Linked DNA regions of Canis lupus familiaris. The protein of the gene in region 2 interacts with the protein of the main gene of each other region in a biochemical or structural test. Links are inferred from orthologs where the notes say so. Each region holds a gene or a part of one and is shown on either strand. Other genes may lie near its edges.

Region 1 (6,520 bases), on a different chromosome or scaffold from region 2:
CTCCAAGAAGGAACTGCAGCTTCCGAGGTGAACAAGTGTCTGTTCCTAGATGCTAACCCAGCGGCTCTAAAGCAAGGGTGATTTTTGCCTTCTGAGCATCATTGTTCAATGCCTGGAGGTATGCTTTATAGTCACCACTTGTGGGGGGATTGCTACTGGAATTTAGTAGGTGGAGTAGAAGGGTGCCGCTAAATATTCTGCAGGGTTGAGCACGTCCTCAACAAAGAATTACCAAGTTTGAAATGTCCATAGTGCCGAACTTGAGAAACCATTGTAGGTTAACAGGAAGAGGAACAAGAAGCAAGCATGGAATTAAATCTCATCTTCCCCCATCCAGCCATGGCATCTTCCTCTAGCGCTCCCTATTGGCAGAGCCTAAGAGGGAGCCAGCAGGTGGAGCAGAAATCCGGATTTGTCCCAGGCCCAGCATCACAAAGCCAAGTACAGAAAGATGGGTATGTAGCCGAAAGCCAATAAGTTAATAACTGGCACAAGCATTTTGGCCCAGGTTCTCAGAGCAAGCAAAGCCATGACGGCAGATATAGGAGTGGCATGACAGCAATGCCTAGCACATTGTAGGTGCTCAGCAGAGAGTGAGCAAACATTTATTCAGTGAATGACTTCTAGATGAAAGACTTTCAAGCTGTATGAGAATGAGCACAATGTCTCCTGACAGTGAAATTTTTTGTATCCATGAAGTTGGTATTTTTCTTTGCTTTTGTCTGTTGTCTTATAAGGAATAGAGTACCTCCTGAAATTCAGTTCTCAGAGTGTGTCAAAGGTGTTACAGTCCTTTTGTCTCATAACTGTTTTTTTTTACACAAATGAGATCATGTGACTTTCACTCATCAACAGTATCATGGAGATGTTTGCACAATATTTTTTTTTGCACAATATTAATAAAGATTTATTTAGTGCTAGTTCTACCTTATGGTATACTTTACCACTTTTATTTTACTTCAGCTGCCACCTGCTTACCTATTTTTGGATGAGAAAACTAAAGCTCAAGCAAGGTGAAGTGATTTGTCCCAAGTGGTACCTTAAGTGGAAGAGTGAAATTAGAACCCCAGAAAGGTGATTTGTGCTTGAGTTGCTCTGAGGCAGCTGATTTACTGTGTCACTTAGCCCTTCCCAATCTGGGTGTGTTTCAAGTGCAGCCAGGCTCCTATGGTGTGCTAAACCCTTTACCTTTTCCTCCCATACATTTTGTTCCCACTCACTTGTAGAATCAATGGAGCAATTCAGGGTGTTAGTTTTTCAGGAGAGAACTATAATCCAGTGAGAAACATGGAAGAGTTTATGGATGAACTCAGGCTGCATGGTCTCATACAGACAGGGTAGGGAACCCAGTCCTGAGAGGTCAGGGAAGCCTTTCTCTGGTGACATCCAAAGGAGAAGGAGGAAACAGAGGAAGGAGAGGGCAGGCTGGACAGGAAGGAAAAGCATGTGCAAAGTGCAAGATGAAACATTAAAGGCCTGCAAGCTGACCATGGAAGGGGTTTGGCTATGAGGGCAATGTAGTGGGAAGAGTGACATGTAAGAGCTGGATCAATGACTGTTGCTTATAAACCCTGTAAGTTATATGAAGAAAGTTGGACTTTATAATGGTCTAGCTAATTATGTGAGCACACCATTTTCTTGAGTTTTGGTCTCCACTGTGTAAAATGGTAGTAACAGCATCTGTTCTGTCTACCAAACGGGGCCTGAGTTGTTCAAATAAAATACAAACACACACACACACACACACGCAAACACACACATCACATGGAAATTTGCTTAGGAAACTGTCACACATTATCACTACAGCAACCCCGAGTCAGCTTCGGAAAATAGAAGCAGCAGTTTTCTCTTTCCTCCCATCTCCCTTAACCCCTGTGGAGGAAAAAGCCCCCTTTGGAAAAGAAAGACTCTCCTTAGTCCTTTGCCAAAGCTTTCTCAAGTAATAATCCATAATGCAATCTTCATTGAAATTGTATTTCAGCCCCCCTCTGCTAAAAATATAAATACATCTGACTTCAGCCTCCGAATGGCCTTTGTGCCTTCCTGCCCCTGGTGTGCGCCTTCCTAAGTGGCTGTCCTCGCCGTGGGCACCAGCCTGTGTGATAACATTATAATTTTGTGTATATTGTGCTCTCCGAGGCCATGCTGAGGCCAGCGCGAGGAAATGGCAATTGACAGCAGGGCCAGTCTTTGTGAAGATCTGTGGCTTCCTCCTCTGTGGGTTCATTTGGCTCCAGCTACTGTATTTGGGTGGCTGGCCCCAAGAAGCCATGGACACAGGCACCAGCACTCCCCTTAACTGAGTGCTTTGTTAAAAAAAAAAAAAAAGAGGCAACTTAAAATTGAGGTGTCCCAGGATAGAGAATGAATGGCTTGAGGAAAGAGGGGGTAGGCAACAACCCAGAACACAGTCATCTGGACCATATGTGTGAACTCTGAGTTGCTGGAATCCAAAACCAAATCCAGCAGAGCCTTCAAATCGCCAGGGCTAATGGTTTGCACATCATCTATTTACCCTGGATCTTTCTACTGCATTGTATAGCTCCCAACACAAATCACTTTTACGCTGCCAAGGATGCGAACATTTGAGAAATATTTATTAAATGTCCACTCTGAGCTAACATCTGTAGGCACTGAGGATAGTGATGAACAAGGAACAGTTTACCATGCAAGGAACTCACACTGGGTAAGGAGTCCATTGCACCATCAGTGCAAATGCTAGTTTCTCTCCACTGATTAAGAGAAGTTGCTAAGGGACAATGGCTCACAAAGGGTTAAATGGAAAGCTGTGTATTCTGATTATCATAGTGACTCGAATGCCAGCATTCAGAAAGGTTCCATCTCCATCTCTTTTTTGCTTTTACTTACTCTCTTCATTTGCATGGAGGAAGGAAAGCCAAAGCCTCTTACCAATTACCCCATGCACTGAGCCACAGACCCAAACGGAGCTCAGATTATCTATTTAATTCTCTAGCCTGCAAGGGGGCATTTACCTATTGTCTATGTCTTAGCCAAATGTAATGGATTAGTTCAGAGCCTGGGGGAAAAGGCGTGAATACTGTGTTTAGAAGGAAAGCTATACAGAGCAGAGATATGAGTTCAGAGGATGAATTTATAAAAGAGAAAAGTCGCATGAGTTTATAGGCAACCCCTGTGAGCTCCAGGGGCCAGGCCTGGGCTGTCCAAAGCAGCAATTTGGTCCCTGTCTCACAGACCCCTGTGCTCTGTCAAAGGCTGTCCACCCCCCAAGCTCACCCTAGATGAGGACCATCCATCACCAGGGGGATAGGGTGAGATTCAAGGGTGGGAGGACTGCAAGTCTGGCTATACCAGGATGGAGAGAAAAATCTACTTCAGCTTTGTTTCCTTAGAAACCCCTACAAGCTCAGACTGGGAAGGTAGCCACAGAACCAGAAGGCAGTACTTCTGATTCCTTCATCAAAGATCACACCCTGAAAGGAGGAAGAAGATATCCTTAAGCAGCTTAACCTTGCAGGTGATGCTGGAGAAAACAGCCTCCCGTAGAGGTCCCAAGAAGGTGGTCTGGGTCCTGAAGCAGGGCAGCCACAGGCAGGCAAGCAAGTCAAATCTGTAAATGCATGAGTGAGAAGCCCTGACAATTAATAAGGGAGTGAAAATGTTCTGATGGAATATTCAGATGGAATGAAAGTTCCCATAGAAACCCCTTTGTGAATAACCACAAAATAATCATATGACCTTCAGTTTAAACTGGGAACAAATCTGATTGAATCTAATTCTGAAAGCATGTCAAGTTCTGGCCCTTGCTAGGCAGCTCTAGCTCTGCAACCAGAACTGACTCTCCACCACTTAATAGCTCTGTGACTTGAGGCAAGTTATGTAACTTCTCAGAGCCATATCTGTGAAAGAAAGATAATGGTCCCTACCTTAGGGTAGTATAAAGAATTAAGTGAGATAATACATGTAAAACACTTCAGACAGTGTCTGACTCACTCTAACAGTGAACAGATAAGAATTCAGTCAACAGATAAGAATGAACCATGATACATACACATGGAAGGAATCTCAGACTGTCATGTTGACCAAAAGAAGCCAGAGACAAAGAAGACTGTATAATTCCATTTACATGAGGCTCAAGAAGAGGCAAAACTACCTGGTGATCAGGATAGTGGAGACCTCTGGGGGTGCTGAGTGGGAAGGGCCATGAGTGAGACTGTTGGGATGCTGGGAATATTGTCTATTTTGCTATGCCGGTTATAGGAGCATATGCATCCACAGAAAACTCACTGTGCTATACACTTAATATTCATGTACTTCAAGCACTCTACTATTTTTATAACACACTTCATTTATTTTAGAGAGAGAGAGAGAGAGAAGAGCACGCATGCCAGTGGGGGGAAGGGGAGTGGAAGGGACAGAGGAAGAAAAAGAATCTTAAACAGGCTTCAGGCCCAATGCAGAGCCTGACACTGGGCTCAGTCTCACAACCCTGAGATTATGACCTGAGCCGAAATCAAGAGTTGGATGTTTAACTGAGGCACCCAGACACCCCTATTTTTTGACACACTAATTGTTTGAAGAAAATGTGAATAGGCCTGCTGAGTGCCTAACACAATGTCTGTCTCAGAGGAAGTATTCAATAGTGTTAATCTCACCTGAAAAATGAGTCAAAAGAGATCATCATCATTATCGTCATCATCAGTAGCAGCAACACGACAGACCCTATGGGTCACCACCATATGTGACAGCAGCTGCAGGGAGTGAAGAAAACTGGTTTGAATTTAGGGCATGTGTTGGCTGATATGCTCTGTAATGTGTTGTATCTCGAGGGTGATTATTAGAACCTTGATTCTTTCTTTCTTTCTTTCTTTCTTTCTTTCTTTCTTTCTTTCTTTCTTTCTTTCTTTTTTTAACCTTGATTCTTTCAAGCAGCACTTAGACTAATTCTTCCTGTGAGCTACACAGGAAAGTCTCTCCCATCTCTATTGCTCCGCTGAGGGTGGTGAGGGCTTGGGGAGGGGATGGTGGTGAGGTCATTTGTCCATAAATACAGCTGGTAGAGGAAGAGTCAAGAATAGAAGGCAAGTCTTTACGCACTAAGATATTTCAATCTGTTTCAAGAATTTCTTTCAAACTATTTAGAGATTCATTCCTTAGTCCTGAAAGGAGGCATAAAAACAGGTTCTTTTTTTATCTGAAGGAGTTCTTCCACGGAGAAATAGGCCTTCCAATTATGAATGGACAAAACTAAGCTTAATTGCCACTTGCAGCCTCCATGACATCCAGTGGCCATAGAAACAGGAGTGTGAGGTCTGAAGCATAGTTATTGTCATAGTTCCCTCTGTCCCAGGCTGGTGCAGTAGCAGGTAGGGTCATGGGTACAGGAGTGGTGATAGGAGTCATCTGTGGTCTCTGAAAGGCTCTGGAAGGGAAAAGATGTGGTTCTACCAGCAGATTAAAGAGCAAAGAAGGGTAGTTCCCTGTGACTTCAGGCCACTCTGGATAAAACAACATTCTGAAGACTTCTACCTTGTACCTAGCACTATTAAAGGAGGTCAGGATACACAGCAGGGTCCAAAATAGAGGCAGATCCTGCCCTCATTAGGCTGATGTTCTAATGAGAGAGATAGATAATAAGTAAAAAAATAATATAACAGAGAAGGGGGTGGTATTCTACTTTATTAAGTGGAATAAATAAAAATGGAGCAGGTTAAGGATGGAGAGTGATGGTGAAAGCTAGGTATATGGGGCATTCAGAGAAAACCTCTCCAAGCAGTTGATATTCAAATGGCAAACTTTCATAGGGCTAACTTGGGTGGAATTACAGTTCCTATGGGGAGGACCCAGATATACATGTGTTGGGTCTCACAGGACAAGTCTTCCTCCAATCTTCTCTAGCTATATCACTGAAAATCAATCATGCTTTATCATTCATGCATATCATTTGCACCTAAATCCAAATCACTGGGCTATGAAAAAGTTATATCACTTTATTATAGGATAGGTCCTATAGGCTTCAAATAATTTAGGCACAGTTACCAGACCAAAGGGAAAACGTCTCTTTACAAAAGGGTATATGCATGGAGTGCCCAGGCCCCTAGACTTCTACCAATACTAACTCATGCTTTTTCTGTAATGTCATTAATATATGCAGAGAGACTGAGAGACAAATGAACAAGACAGCTCCTGCCTTTGAAAAAAGATACGATTGAATAGATGGACCAGTCATATGCACAACTACAACAGTACCTCACAGGAAATACTGTTAATTGTAGTGTATCAACAGTGCTGAACCAATGTAGGGTACATCTGTAGTCCTAAGCCAAGAAATGTAAAGAATTCATCAGGGTTGTCCATTGCCCAAGTACAACAGAGTTACAATCTAGGCAAGAAGATGCAATGCAAGCTAGAAATAAGTTTTACCACCAAAATCAATATCATAGTGCTCCATGAGTCTCAAAAAGTGGGGTCTTCTTTACTCACCTACCCAAGAAACATTTACTGAATGCCAACCATGTGCCAAGTACTTAATGAGCATAGT
Region 2 (6,081 bases):
GCAGCCAAGCAGGTATTATTACATCATGCTGCCGTCCTCACAGACGTTAGGGCTGTGCTTGTCCATGTTACCTGACGGCTGGACGAGTTCGTGATAGACAATGATGTCTTGGGCATCATTAAGGTTGTTTACTAGCGTGGCCAGCTCTGATCCAGTGAATTTATTGGCACCGTAGACTGCTTCATTTTCCCCATCTATCCAGTAGACACGATCCTAAAACAGAACCTCCAAATTAGCAGGTACACCTAATGATGACCATAGATACTGTATTCATCTTATTTTCTGGTAATTTAATGAAGCAACTTTACTGAACACTGCTCTGGGAGGTTAGATGTCAAACTGGTGGAAAGCAAGTTGGGGCTTCTTAAAGTGCTAGAGGAAACGAGTATCTAATGCATCCCATGATGGCAGTGAGAGCAGTTTCTCAGGTCATGCTTCTCCACCCATCCTTCCTTTCCCCATCCCTGTTCTGTCCTTTCTCCCCGGGAGTGCTGAAGTAACTCAGAGGTACACACTTAGACATGATGCACACATCTCACCTCAAATATGGTTAGCGCCAGAGGATGAGCTAGGAACTCCAGAGATTTAAGGACAATCCTACGGTCTTGGCCATTTAAGTCCACGCTGGACAACATGTGCAACTTGGAGTCAAGCCAGTAGAGGCGACTCTTTATAAGGTCTAGAGAGGGAAAGAATTGTCAGTGCATGATAGGCCATCACCACCCTGGCTTCCATTGAAAATACCCAGAGAATCCAATATTCTAATCTCATGGTTCCTTCTCCAGCATGGGTTCCAAATGGGGTCCCAGAAACCTGGAGAGGCAGCATGCAGAATCTGTACCCACACTCATTCTGGGGGATTCAAGGAGCAGCTAAGATTTTCAAAGGAGCTGACTTAAGAAATGGTACTCACATTATAGAAGTGTTAAAGGAAGCTAGCATATTGCTCTCCCCTGATGGATGAGAGTTGCCAAGGCCCAAGATGCACTGAATTCATGTCACATATTAGGTCCATATGGACCAAAAAGCTAGTAATGATGGAGCATGTAATTCGTTAAGGCCAGTACTCGACTTGCATTGGTCAGTTACTCTCATCCAAAATTCTTGCTACTAAAGGAACCATGGGAGCTGTCTGCTGTAGTCCAGAATAAACTATGGAGGGAAGCGAAAGCAGCAGAGACCATTGAGTTGGTGGCCAAGGAAGGAAGGACAGACATACCAAGTGTAATTCCATTAGGCCATTGGATGTCCACTGTCACAAGTGGCCGCCTATCAAATCCATTCATTCCTGCTTTTTCTATTTTAGCTGGTTCTCCCCAGTCTGACCAGTACACAAACCTGGGAAGAATTAAATGAAAAAAAAAAAAAAAAAGCCTCAGTGGTTTAGAAGGGATAAATGTGTAATTTGAGACACACATTTAAAGAATGACTACAAAAGTCTAGAGACCAACAGTAACAGGAACAGGTCCAAATTATGTCCTGAGTAAACAGAAGTTAACACTAAGAATATACAAGCTCATTATGAGCTATATTAATCTATCTAAGTGTGATAATTATATTTCAAGCCCAAGTCACAGGTTATAGACTTCTTTACAAAAGGCCAATTCTTTCAGAGAACTGAAAGGTGAATATGTGTTAGGTTCTATCAGAGGGGCTGGCTGACCATTCTAGCGAGGATTTACGGGGGCCAGGGGTCATTACCACAGCTTTAGTAACTTGCTAAGCTGCTTTCCTATATTACTTAGCACCAATTTAGGGAAACATGTCAAATGTTGCTGGAGAGAGCCATTTATTTCATGTAGACTTTCACACAACTTGGACATTTAGACAAAAGCCTTGAAGTAATAACATGGTTACCAAAATCCTCACAACAAGTGCTAATACTTAGGTTCGATCACCTGGAGCTAACCTGACAAAGCATTCAGACTAAAATAGAAAATCACCCAGCATAGAAGCTGGGCGGCCATCAGGGTTAAGATACAGCTTTTGGTGTGCATCAAATATGTTTCCTTCATGTCACCCGGCGGTCATACTGCCAGAGAGGGCCGATAAGGCAGCACACTTGCTTCACTGTGGCACCAATGACATCTTAAACAGGATGTTGCTTTGTTGTGGGGGAGCTGTGTGTCCTGGGGTTTCAATATTATTCCGGCCAGAAGGAAAGCTCCTGGCATACAGATAGCATCCAAAAGGCTAGAAAAACAGACTACAAACCCAGAGAGTGGATCCACAGCTATGGAGGCAGGCTCCCGCAAGTCAGAGTTAAACAGGAACTTCCTTCTGGTCCCATCTAGGGTAGCTACTGAAATAGTCTTAGAAGCCACATCAGTCCAGTAGATGGTCTTGTACACCCAATCAACAGCAATGGCTGCAGGATTATAGACATTGTCGATCATTTTAACATGTCTACCAACCTTGTCATCAATTGAGGCACTGAAACAGAATAGGTCACAAGAAATTTAGGAGTTTGATACCACCAGAGCCTGGAGAATGGGCTTCCTGCTTACAAAATGATCCACAACTTTGTTCAGAAGAAATTCTGGTAACACCATCGCTCACCACTCCAATTATTTAACTGTGCTTCTTACCGATGCTAAATAATACTGTTATGTAGCTGCTGGTACACCTTGATATTCAAGAATGACACATTTCTAAGCAAAGCTGTTTGGTGCAGTGGCTACCATCTGAATTTCTAGAGTTCCCCTTAGGAAAAAGCTGCCACTACCATTTCTATTGGTAGCAACTATGAAAAAGGTATCCATTAATTAGAGAGTAAGGGGTGACAAGAGGAGAAGTGAAGATGTCCTTTGTTTATAATCCTATAGCTACAGCCACCTTTTACTTCATACGTGATGGTTAGTTTCTAATGAGGAACTAATGGTAACTTAATAGTTGAAGAATCAATCAGTGTCCAGACATAAGAGTCCCAGCTAATTAGATGCTAGAGTGGAGCTAGAAATTCCTCCAAACCTTCCCAAAGACCACATGTCAAAGACTTAGGCTGAAGCACTTAAGCAGAGAACTCAAGTTACCTGAAGATGGCCTTTTGGCTCAGATCAGCCCAGAACAGTTTCTGAGCTGCAATGTCTGCATCAAGAGCTACAGTGTTTCTTAGCTGTTCAACTAGTTGAATATATTCTTTCCTCTCCAAGCCAATCTTCCGGATGTCTCTTCGATTTGTGAAGATCAGACTTGGCTCTTTGCCTACAAGACAAGAGTCAGGTTTACTAAGTTTCGCTGTGAGAAGGCAAGGTCCTTCCGAGTCACCTTCTCCCAAAGGAGGAGCATCTATAAAGTAAAGGCACCGCTGAAACACCTGACGAGTGTGCTGGCAGCAGTCCGTGCCCCCAGGAAACTGCAAGCACTTTGCGCTGTTCAAGGAGGCAGTCCTGGGGTCACGGCATTCAACAGGAGGGTGGCTGGCACGTTACTCACAGATTGCACTCAACTTTGGGAAGCAGAAAGTAAGCAAACCTGGTAGGTATTCATGGTATCACATGCAAAAGAAGCTGACCAAAGCAGGTGTCCGGGGAAAGGATCTTTTGTTTAACGTAGGATACGGCACTGTGAATAAGTAGCATTGCTCGGAGTACAGACAGTCCCCGGCTTAGGATGGTTCCAGTTAGGATTTTTCAACTTTACAATGGTACAAAAGTGGTTTGGATTCAGTAGAAACCACACTTCGAGTTTAGAGTTGGGATCTTTGCCCAGGCCAGTGATACGTGCGACCGTCCTCTCTTATGATGTTCTCTCATGATGCTGGGCAGTGGCAGTGAGCCGCAGCTCCCCACCAGCCCCAGGATCACGAGGGTGTGAACATCTAATGCACTGACATCTACCTGCACCCCTGCAAGAATTCTGCTTTTGACTTTCAGTATAGTACTCGATACATTACATGAGACATTCAGTATTTTAGGGGCTTTGTGTTAGAAGATGTTGCCCCCCCCATAAGCTGACTTCAGAGTTCTGAACACATTTAAGGCAGGTGTGGCTAAGCCACGATATTTGGTAGGTTAGGTATATATATATTTATTTGGTTAGGTATATTAAATTCATTTTTGACTTAGGATATTTTCAACTTACAATGGGTTTATTGGAGTAAGACTCTATCATAAGTCAAGGAAGGGCTGTATACTATTTTAATTCCATATTTAGTTGATTCTTGGGAATCACTGGCTGTACCCTTGGTGCAAGCGGTTACTCATAAAGGTAGCAACACCAGTCCAAGTCCATTTACCTACTGCCTTGCACACGCCGGTGGCAAGATCCATCTGATAGCCCCGACTACATTCACACTTGTAACCGCCTTTTAAGTTGATACAAATTTGGCTGCAGATTCCTGGATTTTGGCATTCGTCAATATCTAGGAGGGAAATGAACATTAGTCTTCTGCTCCTACATGACCTATAGTGAGATGCTGTCCTTTCCCATCTCCTCCTCTACTACCCCTACCCCCAACAGCCTCCTCCCACCCGCCCTGCACTAGGGCTGAGGCTCCCTCCTGGACTCACCTCCACAAATTTTCTTATCTATCAGTTCAAACCCAGCTGCGCAGTCACATTCATAGCCTATAACTAGGTCTTTGCAGATGTGCGAACAGCCACCATTATTAACCAAGCATTCATTTACGTCTGAAATAAAAAGGGACCAGAGTTACCCCACACTTTACTCCAAATTGATATGTGCTCTGATTAACATTTACACTCCCGGATTTTTGCAATCGCTTATCTAATTAGTCTGGTCAAACCCATGATTTTCCTAAGGTCCAAAAATTTGTCTTCAAGATCTGCATCTCAGAGGGTTTGGGGAATAGGAAACCCAATCTCCTTGGCAGGTTACCAGCTGGCTACGTAGTACTTAGCCAAGTATCTCCATTGCTGATGAGTTATCTTTAAGGAATTTAAAACTATGAACAAGTCTGTCACTGCTTTTGCTTTTAAGGCATAAAAAAATGCCACCCTGAAGCCCAACAACTGGACTAGGTTCCTTAAAAGTGGTGTAAGCAGGCCCTGTGCAGGGTCCACCCAGCATTAGCTAGGGGTGATGTCATGAACCTTCCCAACTGTGCTCAGGCAACCCCTCCACTTACGACATTCTTTCAGGGGTTCGTCACTCCAGTCCCTGCAGTCCTGCTCCTGGTTACATACTTTACCGATATCTATGCACTCCCCACTTCTGCACTTGAACTTTCCAGGGCCCAAGCACTGATTGACTACAACGAGAAACACAAAAGCAAGATTCCATTTGGTGGGGTTGCTCAGAGCAGTCCTCTGACTGACCCCCAGGAGGAGCCCCTCACCGTTCTTGCAGTTGACTTCATCCGAGCCGTCCACACAGTCCCTGATACCGTTGCACTGCCTGCTGCCATGGATGCAGCTCCCGTCCTCACACTCAAACTGGTCAGGCCGGCAGGTTCTCGAAGCTGCAGAGGCGGTGGGGCGGGAAGGGTCAGCCAAGCCATCCAGGCAGACCCTGAGAGGGGGGCACAGAGCAGGTGGGACTGATAAGGTGGCTACTTACGACAGTTGACCTCGTCGCTGCCGTCTTTGCAGTCGGGGTCCCCATCGCAGCGCCACTTCTTGTGGATGCACTCGCCTGAGCCGCACTGGGTCTCGCTGGCTGGGCACTTGGTGTGCATCACGGGCTGGCGGCCACACTGCTCCAGGGACTCATCTGACTGGTCGGAGCAGTCGGCGTCATCGTCGCATACCCAGCTCAGGGGGATGCAGGAAGAGGTGCTGCACTGGAACTCATGCTCGCCGCACGTGGGGGGCGCGCAGTCCAGCTCGTCGCTGCCGTCACTGCAGTCGTCCTGGCCATTGCAGACGAAGTTCCTGGAGATGCAACGGCCGCTGGAGCAGGTGAACTCGTCCGGGCTGCATGTGATGTTGCCTGCGGGGAGAGAGCAGGCCACACTGAGAGCCTGCGGGACCGGCATGCCTTCCAGGCTCTCGTCTCACAGCATGACATGCGGGATCTCCAACCACCGGCCCTAGCTTTCCAGCTTCGCTTAAAAGCCAAGTCATTCCACCAATATCCAAGTTCCTGGAGGACTAGTAAGCAGTCTCAGTGTGCAAGATG

The links.
Region 1: the proteins of VLDLR (region 2) and DAB1 form a complex in vitro, tested with the Homo sapiens proteins (2 studies listed by BioGRID). The link is inferred for Canis lupus familiaris from reciprocal best matches to the Homo sapiens genes VLDLR and DAB1.

Annotation. Positions count from the first base shown.
Region 1 is NC_049226.1:51,837,912-51,844,431, reverse strand, and holds the start of DAB1 (disabled homolog 1), read right to left. Parts: upstream 3,627-6,520; 5' UTR 3,490-3,626; intron 1-3,489. UniProt on the Homo sapiens protein: Signaling adapter of the reelin-mediated signaling pathway, which regulates the migration and differentiation of postmitotic neurons during brain development.
Region 2 is NC_049222.1:91,940,009-91,946,089, reverse strand, and holds part of VLDLR (very low-density lipoprotein receptor precursor), read right to left. Parts: intron 5,893-6,081; coding exon 5,521-5,892; intron 5,423-5,520; coding exon 5,300-5,422; intron 5,213-5,299; coding exon 5,090-5,212; intron 4,632-5,089; coding exon 4,512-4,631; intron 4,364-4,511; coding exon 4,238-4,363; intron 3,205-4,237; coding exon 3,033-3,204; intron 2,434-3,032; coding exon 2,215-2,433; intron 1,339-2,214; coding exon 1,220-1,338; intron 680-1,219; coding exon 540-679; intron 214-539; coding exon 72-213; intron 1-71. UniProt on the Homo sapiens protein: Multifunctional cell surface receptor that binds VLDL and transports it into cells by endocytosis and therefore plays an important role in energy metabolism.